2 linked regions of the Nothobranchius furzeri genome follow. The protein of the gene in region 1 interacts with the protein of each later gene in a biochemical or structural test. Links are inferred from orthologs where the notes say so. Each region holds a gene or a part of one and is shown in the gene's direction. Other genes may lie near its edges.

Region 1 (3,537 bases):
GAAGGACAGAGAGGTCATCTTCATTGAATTCATGACCGCGCTGAGGAAGAGGGAGAAGGAGGACTCCAAATCCAGAGGAGAGAAGGTACCGACGCTGCCGCGTCATTCTCATCCAGCTGTTTTCATTTGGAAATGATTCATAATGGAGTTCTTTGTCCTGTTTCAGGTGAAACAAGACTTCTACGACCTCCTGAGCGAGCAGCACATAGAGGGAAGTCAGCGATGGAGCAAAGTGAAGGATAGAGTAGAGACGGATCCACGGTACAAGGCTGTAGAGAGTTCTGCACTCAGAGAAGAACTTTTTAAGCAGTTCTTGGAAAAACAAGCCAAGGTAGGATCTGATAAAAGGGCGAAGCCCTCGTCCTGCAATTCCACTGGCATGTACGCGGCGCGTAACATCAGCGAAGAGTAATACTCGGCTAGCTCCGCCGTCGTAGTCGACGGGTGTGTTTCCAGTGACGTGTCCCAGAAGCGTAGTGTCGAGTTGCTTCGGATCCCTATATTAATATGCTACGCTTCCAGAACATGTCAAGCTCGGCAGCTCAGATTGGGCCGGACAGGAAGTTGCACACAAAAGCAGTGTGAAACTTCCAGGAACTTTCAAAATAATGTTGCTTTACTTGTACAAAAAAGTACATCATTACCTGTGACACCTCCAAGGCCAAAGTAAAAATAACGGGTTTGTGCTGCCATCTTTCTTCTGAACTGCCGAAATCACGCGTGAGCTCTGGTGATATAATGACCTGCGTGGAACGCATTTGCTGCCAGTGCGCATCTGAAATGCTTCCTGTAGGAGAGACACACTGCTGAGCTAGCAGGAAACGCACGTCTGTTACGTTAAGCGCCGCTAACGCGTCTGGTGGAAAGCCCGGGTTGATTTGACTAAAAAAAGCTGTTCTGTTACTCCTGGAACAATTTTGTAAAACCGTTTGTGTGTCCTGCTCTGCTACCAGTACCAAGTGCAAACTCAAAAAGTCGACATGTATTTTCTCACAGAATGTGGACATTGACAAGGAGCGAGAGCTGGAGCGGCAGGCTCGTATCGAAGCCAGCCTCCGGGAGAGGGAGCGGGAGGTCCAGAAGGCCAGATCGGAACAAACCAAAGAGATCGACCGAGAAAGGGAGCAGCACAAGAGGGAGGAGGCCATCCAGAATTTCAAAGCTCTCATGTCCGATATGGTGAGATGCTCCTCGGTTTCTGTTGTTGCCTGGTGGAGGATTCTGTAGTCGCAACAAAAAGACCCAATCCACGTTTCTGTTGTCTCCTCAGGTACGTTCTTCAGATGCAGCGTGGTCAGATACTCGCCGCAACCTGCGGAAGGACCACCGCTGGGAGTCTGCCTCCCTTCTGGAGAGAGAGGAGAAGGAGAAGCTGTTTAATGAACACGTGGAAGCACTGGCCAAGAAGAAGAAGGAGCAGTTCAGACAGCTGCTGGATGAGACCATCACGGTGAGAAGTAAAACAAAAACATGTAAAAACATTTCAAAAGGCTGAGTGACTCGTTTAGTCAGCTTCAGTTCCTCACACATGCATGAGCTTGGTTATAGTTTATAAGTGTGTGTGTGTGTGTGCGCGCGTTATAGATCACTTTGACAACTACATGGAAGGAAGTGAAGAAGGTCATCAAGGACGACCCACGATGTATTAAATTTTCCTCCAGTGACCGAGTAAGACTATTTTTGTAGGTCGTGAACTTTTCTAAGTAGAGTGAACCTTACCATGTAGCAACTCCTGTCATTTGGATGTGTTTGTTGTTTTTGTAGAAGAGGCAGCGAGAGTTTGAAGACTACATCAAGGACAAATACATCACCGCCAAGGCCGACTTCAGAACTCTACTAAAGGAGACTAAATTCATCACATACAGGTCTGTGCATCCATCAGGCGATTTGGAAAAGAAGTTGAACCCTTTTAAGATTGTGTTGTTGCCCCAAATGTATTATTCGAGCCGAGAAATGGTCCAAGTTGCATCCTGTTACTTTAAAACGTCTGTTTAAAAGACGAGAGGAAGTTTCCCTGTTACGGAGGTTGTTCTGATCACCTCTGACGTCTTGTTCGTCTTCCAGGTCAAGAAAGCTGATCCAGGAGTCAGAGCAGCATCTGAAAGATGTGGAGAAGATCCTTCAGAATGACAAACGCTATCTGGTTCTGGACTGTGTCCCAGAGGAACGCAGGAAGCTCATCATGTTCTACATTGAAGATTTGGACCGCCGTGGCCCGCCGCCTCCACCCACTGCCTCAGAGCCAACCCGACGCTCTACAAAGTGACCAACCTCAACAACTTCATGGCCAATGCCCCTCCCTGCCCTCCCTTTGGTCAGAGCATGATGTCTCCTCAGCACCCCCTGAACCCCAGCCTCCAGGCTGGCTTTACAGTGTTACTGCTGAGGGTTCACTTGGTTAGAGATGAACGGTTAAGGTCTCTGTCATGTCACCTTTTAGCCCTTCTTTTCAAGAAACGGCAGACAAGAGGTTTACCTGGTGGCCCATGACCTTTGACACATATTAGAGGGAGGCAAAGTGATGAGGCTGTTGTTTGAACAGTCACACAGATGTAAGATATCTGATGTAAATGAAGATGTGTGGGTGTGTATGGTGCACGCACGTTTAAATATGTGCATTTGTTAAAGGCGTCCTTAAAGCCTTACAGCTCCACTGTGCCAGTCACTGTTTCTGATGGCTCAGTGTGAATGTTAGTTTCTGCTCAGTGGTTTATTCCAGCGTCGCTGCAGTTTTTCTGTTAAATGAAATAAAAGCATCTTCCACTGTTTTTCAATACGGTTTATTGTGTTGTCATTTGGCACAGTGATACATTTACCAGTTTATGTAAACATTGCATTGACTGTAAAATGCACCACTAAATAATAAAATGCAAAAACGTACCGAGAGTATTCATACAAAGAAGCGTTTACTGTGCCTGCAGGGCAGGCAGATGTTTGAATCACGTGGTGTCGGCGGAAGTTATTGATCGTTCGTTTTAGGGCTGCGCTCATTTTATACAGCTTCACTAAATAGAAGGACGAGGCTTCACCTTAAAATGTGCGGTTTGATAAGTGAAACTATGCATTCTGTATATAATTATGTTCAAGGTAACTTGACAATGAGTAAAAAATACAATGGTCATACCTTGGTCTAAGTACAGACTCCGCCTACACGGCTCATCGCTAAGTGCCCCGTGGTATAAAAAGTGTAGACCCCACTGAAATTGTTCTGCATCATCAAACCCATCAGCTAACCTTTAGAGCTTCATCTTGTTAAATTCACTTTTTGTTTGTTATTGTCGTCAGTTGAAACCTATCTATGTGCAGTTTTTAGTTATTTTTAAGCGTATGGAGGACTGGAGCTAACGGGAACCTAACGTAGCTAACCTCTTTCAGTAAAGGTAGTTGTAGCCGCCATGGGCGGCTTCCAGCTCTTGGTCTTCGCAGTTGTTGCAACAATAGTTTGGTCGGCTGCTGGAGAACCAGAGGCATTCCATGTTGATGGAGCTCCGCCCTCAAAAATTGGTAAAATGAGTTGCACGTTTATTTAAAAACACA
Region 2 (5,151 bases), on another chromosome or scaffold:
TCCTACAGGTTTAGGCACTGAGTTAAGAGAAAACGGTTCTGCTGAAGGCAGCTCTCAAATGACTAAAGTACAACTGAGATGCTTTACTTTATGAGTGACATTTGACTTCTGACATAATCTATCAACACTTTCTTGTTTGTCTGACAAATGTTAAATAAAACATTGGGTACCACTTGTGTCTGGAAGGAGAAAGGAGGGTCTTACAATTGAGAGCAATATCTTTTTGGTGTCATTTCAGATGATTAACTAGGAAAGTTTTTTTTTTCTATAATTGTGGAAAACGCTCCTTTTACCAGTAACTGGTTCACCCACGTTGCTCAACTGTGTATTTAGTAGAGTGAACATAAACATTTTAATTTTAATTATTCCTTTTATAAACATTTTTCTCAGTTTAAAGCCAGTTCACTCACTACTGTGATTTTTACAGCTTTTAAAAGTTCACATATTAATGTTCCTATTACATTGTGTGATGTATTGAAATCCACCTGTAAGCTTTTTACTTTATTTTTTCTGTTGTGAACTTAATGTTTATTTAAAAAAATCCCTGTTAATAGATTAAATCTTCATTACAGTTTTTTCTTGCCTTAATCAGAATTTGTATGTTCTTGTAATAAGAGAAACATTCAAATTCCCCTTACCGTTTCATTAATTTCATTTTAAAAAACTATTAAAACAAATCACTTGCAGTATTTTGTGGTACAGATGCACTTTTGAGAGCATGGCACATCTGAAAATAAAATTTATTTTCATTTTTAAATCAATTTAAACAGAATGTGATGACATTCTAGGTAACATTGTGATTGATGCAATTTGCTTTTCTGACTGCATAACTTGTTCCACTGAAGCCTTCCTTCTAAACAGTTTTGGATTATGTGACTAGGTGTCTAAATAGAACCTTTTGTAAACTATGACTGTCTTTTGCCACAAAGCGAACATTTTCTTGTGAAAATCATTGAACGTACACATGTTTTACATTTTGAGAATTAACTAAATTAGATTGACAGTAACTGTTTTCACTGTCTGAAACTGTTTTCACTCCCAAGAATAACACCAGTGAAATATCACTAAAGCAATTATGTTCCTACAAAAATGTGAGTTTTATCAGTAAAATTCAACACTACCCCTCACAGAGGTGAGAATGCAAATGATTCATTCAAAGTACGTAAAATAGTACAATAAAATTCTTGTTTTCTTAAAACGCGTTTTTCTAAAGGTCATTATTTTCAGCATATACATGTGGTCTTGTGACACATAAGCTGTTGTCTGCCTTATTATGACTTGATAAATACACATTAATATGTGCTGAATGTGATTTTTTGAGTGTCTATTTAAAATTTTAAACAATAGTGTGGTCACTAAATCAAAAGTACTTGTAAACTTTCAGTTTACCAGTTTGCAACAGCTGATAAGTTTTTTGCCAGGACGCAATAATCTGGAGAGAATGAATAAAGTGTCTTATGGTGATCGATTTGACGGACAGGGTTGAAGCTCTTATTCTTTAAACGGAAATTTAGCAAGCATCAACTTCCGGTGTCAGGGGCTACTTGCTTAAGGGAGCAAAAGAAGCGGGCGTACCGAAATCTTTGTTGATTCATGGACTCTTAGATTTCTTGATAGCGTATATTTTTGGTTTATAGAGTTATGCAAGTGCTCCTCGTGGGCTAGTGGTCCTCTTGGATTTGCATCTTGCTTGGGGGAAACTCATTAATTCGGCACTCGTAACGGGCCTTTTCTTCTGGTCTTAGCTAATGTTAGCAGGCTAGCACGAGCACGTTTTTGTTTCTTAAGATTTTTCTCTTTTACGTTGTAAAATATACCACACTGCTAATTTGTAAACCCCTTTTTAACTTTTGATATTTTACTGTCACCAAAGGTGTTACCAGAGGCGAACTAACTAAAGCGGTGTAGGCGAATAGTATTGGTATTTTAAAGTGTTGTTCACCTTGTTGCTAGCTTAAGCTAGCTTCCGCCGACTGAACAACGCATCCCCTGAAAGCGTAACAGGCTTCAACCCAGAAATGTCGGACTACGACGAATTCGAAAGACAGCTATCTGAAAATAAACAAGGTAAATAAAACATTTTTATATAAAATATAAAGAAAAACACTCGAATGGAGTTGAATAGTCGCCATTGGATTTACTGTCCGTGGGTATGTCTATTTACAGGGGTTGGCTCATTATTAGGACGTAGCCTTAAAACATCTAACGTGCGAACTAATTCAGACTAACATTTTTTATTTTTTCCCTCTAGTGTCAATGTCTATGGAAGCGGCAAGCTACGTTTGACAATTGATAAATTCATTGTAAAAGTTAAAAAGTAAAGCTGGGCCTGACTAAAACATGGTGCTCGTCGTCCTACGAGGAGTACTTTACATTCATTTGGTAGTGGTGTAGTTGACAGGGAACACTAAAGTGCTGTTTGCTGATTTGTTATTACATCTCATTTCAGAATAAGTCAATTGCGTCTTAAACAAACGCTAATTTAGCGACTTGACCTAAAAAGATCTTTGCAATCAGGGCCGCTTGGTTGTCGTACAGACAACGAGCTAAATGTTGTAACTTTTACATTTAGCTAGTAATAACATCAAATTGTAGACATTATCATCTACTATTAATAATAAAAAGTAATATTTACTAATTGTAAGGTTTTCGATTGTTTTTTAATTATGTTGTTTGAGCCATAATTAGTAACATTTCTAGAATGATTTTAGTAGTTTAGAGTTGTCACGATGATTAGCAAATTAATTATATTTAGTTTATTATAAAAACACAAGAGGGTATTTTTGTACAATTATTTTGGCAGTAATTGATTATAATGCAAAGATGAAATGTGTATTTTAAGATATTTCCCAACACCTTTTGTACCCTAATATGTCCAACCTGCCCACGCACTTGTTATTTTAGATGTAACACAACAATGACAATACCAGGTGCTCTTAGGGTTTAGTTGTTCACTGAGTAATTGTAAGTTTCCATTTTGTTGCTGTATATTATTGTAATTATCCCAATTTCCACCCAAAACAAAATAACTTTCCTGCCTTTAGGAGATACAAGCTTTGACTTCGTATTTTCATATCTGGGCATTCTATAAATGTCAGGCACTTCTGTTGGTTTACAAGATCTTTATCCCTGCAGCTGAAAGGGACAAGGAGAACCGTCATCACCGTCGGTCCTCGTCCCGCAGTCGTAGCAGAGAGAGGAAAAGGAGGAGCAGAGACAGGGACAGACGCAGCAGGGACCGCCGTGGAGACAGTAAGGAGCGGAGACACCGGCGCAGGTTTGTAGCAGTTTATGATGGCGACAACAAACTGTAAAACCTTTATCCTGTCATGAAATTTAAACTGACACAGTGACCACTACAGTCAGATATGAGACGTGTTGATGAAGCATATAAATAGCTACTGGTGCTTGTGCAAAAGTCGGTATTTAAAGTGATATGACTACATATCTCTAAAGTACAGCACATGTCTGGAGTTTGTTTTAATTCACTAATTTATACAAAAAAAAACATTTTTTTTTCTTTGCTCAACAGAAAACAATTATAACACTAGTTTGTCACTTGAATAAATGCACAGGGGCACAGAAAATGAATGTGTTTTAAGTTAAAGATGAAAAGGTCTCTAATTATTCTGGTCAAGAACTCAAACAAGGTGGTATTTCTGCAGTGTTTTCTCTGTATTTTATTTTCACTCTGCTCTTAACTCTTAATTTGGATGTTACTTGAAAAATCGCTTAGTTACTGTTTAATACAGGGTTTTGAACGGTTATTTTTGTCTATTTTCCCCAAAACACATAGCAACAGCTGCTAATAGGGTTGTCACGGTATGAAAATTTAACCTCACGGTTATTGTGACCAAAATTATCACGGTTTTCGGTATTATCGCTGTATTTTTTAAACGGTGTTGCATATGTTCAGAAAGCATTGATAGTCCTGTTCTACACAAACTGAAATAGTTCTGAAAAGGTTTAACAGTGTTTATTAAACCTAAAATAACACAAAGTCTTAGCAAAAGTGCAACTTTTCACAAGTAAAGGAACAAATAGCTTCTTTTTCTGGAACATGTTACAGTAGTCAGTGCAGGTTTAAATTATACAAATCCAAACATTCAAACCATAAACAATATGTAAACAAATCAAAGAAACACCACTTGTTTTCTCATATACTTGTTTTCTTCATTATCAAAATGAAAATCTAAAACTCCAGTCCACACTTGACTTGAGCACTGTACAAGTCAACCTTAAAAAATATGTATTTAAAATAAATAGCCACTTTAAACAAATTACTAAAATAACTACTACACTGTGTAATCAAATCCAAATGTTCAAGTATAAATGGCATTGAATAAGTAAACAAATCAATGACAAGGAACTAATTGTATATTTCTCTTCATCATCAACAAATAAGATGCTTCATCCAGCAACAGGGTGTCCGTGACACGGTTTAAATGCTGGCAGAGGACGCTGCGGCTGCAGTATATAGTGACTCGTTGCATTCTCCCTCAACCAAAAGTCCTCACGTCATGCATTTAAGCTAAAACGCTAATGTTAACTTACCTTGCACTGGCTGTAGAGACGTGGGTGATGGTCACGCAGATGTGCCATTAGATTCGAAGTGTTGCTGCCTTTTGCAGACACTTGTTTCCTGCACGTTCTGCAAACGGGATAGCCGTCTTCTATTAACTGTCCCTCAGCATTTTTCAGAAATCCAAAATATGCCCATACTTCCGATTTAGTCTTCTTTGAGGGCTGATGGATGTCCTGGGCGCTGCCGTCTCCTCCTTCGGCCATTATTTCAGCTTCAAAGTTTTGGTGCCGTTGCAAACTAAAAAGTGCGTGTGCGCGCCGCGGGAACTTCAGCTGAAGCGACGGTGGCTGGTAAGGGTCACCACGCCGAAACCGCGGCCACGGTAAACCCACCGAGATAATTTAGTTTTTTTAAAAACTGGACGGTTATTTTTATTGTCAACATTTTTATCGGGGTTTACCGCTATACCGGTTACCGTGACAACCCTAGCTGCTAATTTTAGATTAATTGAAAATTGGGATATGTGATTTGATGAGTTTTAAATAATTTCTATGAAAAACACTTTTCTAATTTACATATCTGATAAAAACTTCTTTTGTCATGTTTTTCAGCATTTTTTCTTTGGT

What was found.
Region 2: the proteins of tcerg1b (region 1) and splicing factor U2AF 65 kDa subunit form a complex in vitro, tested with the Homo sapiens proteins (2 studies listed by BioGRID). The link is inferred for Nothobranchius furzeri from reciprocal best matches to the Homo sapiens genes TCERG1 and U2AF2.

The regions. Positions count from the first base shown.
Region 1 is NC_091750.1:56,768,613-56,772,149, reverse strand, and holds the end of tcerg1b (transcription elongation regulator 1), read left to right. Parts: coding exon 1-85; intron 86-166; coding exon 167-331; intron 332-996; coding exon 997-1,179; intron 1,180-1,270; coding exon 1,271-1,450; intron 1,451-1,584; coding exon 1,585-1,668; intron 1,669-1,764; coding exon 1,765-1,865; intron 1,866-2,064; coding exon 2,065-2,266; 3' UTR 2,267-2,774; downstream 2,775-3,537. Other genes in the region: prenylcysteine oxidase-like, read left to right, coding at 3,396-3,504. UniProt on the Homo sapiens protein: Transcription factor that binds RNA polymerase II and inhibits the elongation of transcripts from target promoters. Regulates transcription elongation in a TATA box-dependent manner.
Region 2 is NC_091745.1:76,203,766-76,208,916, forward strand, and holds the start of splicing factor U2AF 65 kDa subunit, read left to right. Parts: upstream 1-1,796; 5' UTR 1,797-2,018; coding exon 2,019-2,067; intron 2,068-3,135; coding exon 3,136-3,277; intron 3,278-5,151. Other genes in the region: ccdc106a (coiled-coil domain-containing protein 106a), read left to right, coding at 1-21. UniProt on the Homo sapiens protein: Plays a role in pre-mRNA splicing and 3'-end processing. By recruiting PRPF19 and the PRP19C/Prp19 complex/NTC/Nineteen complex to the RNA polymerase II C-terminal domain (CTD), and thereby pre-mRNA, may couple transcription to splicing.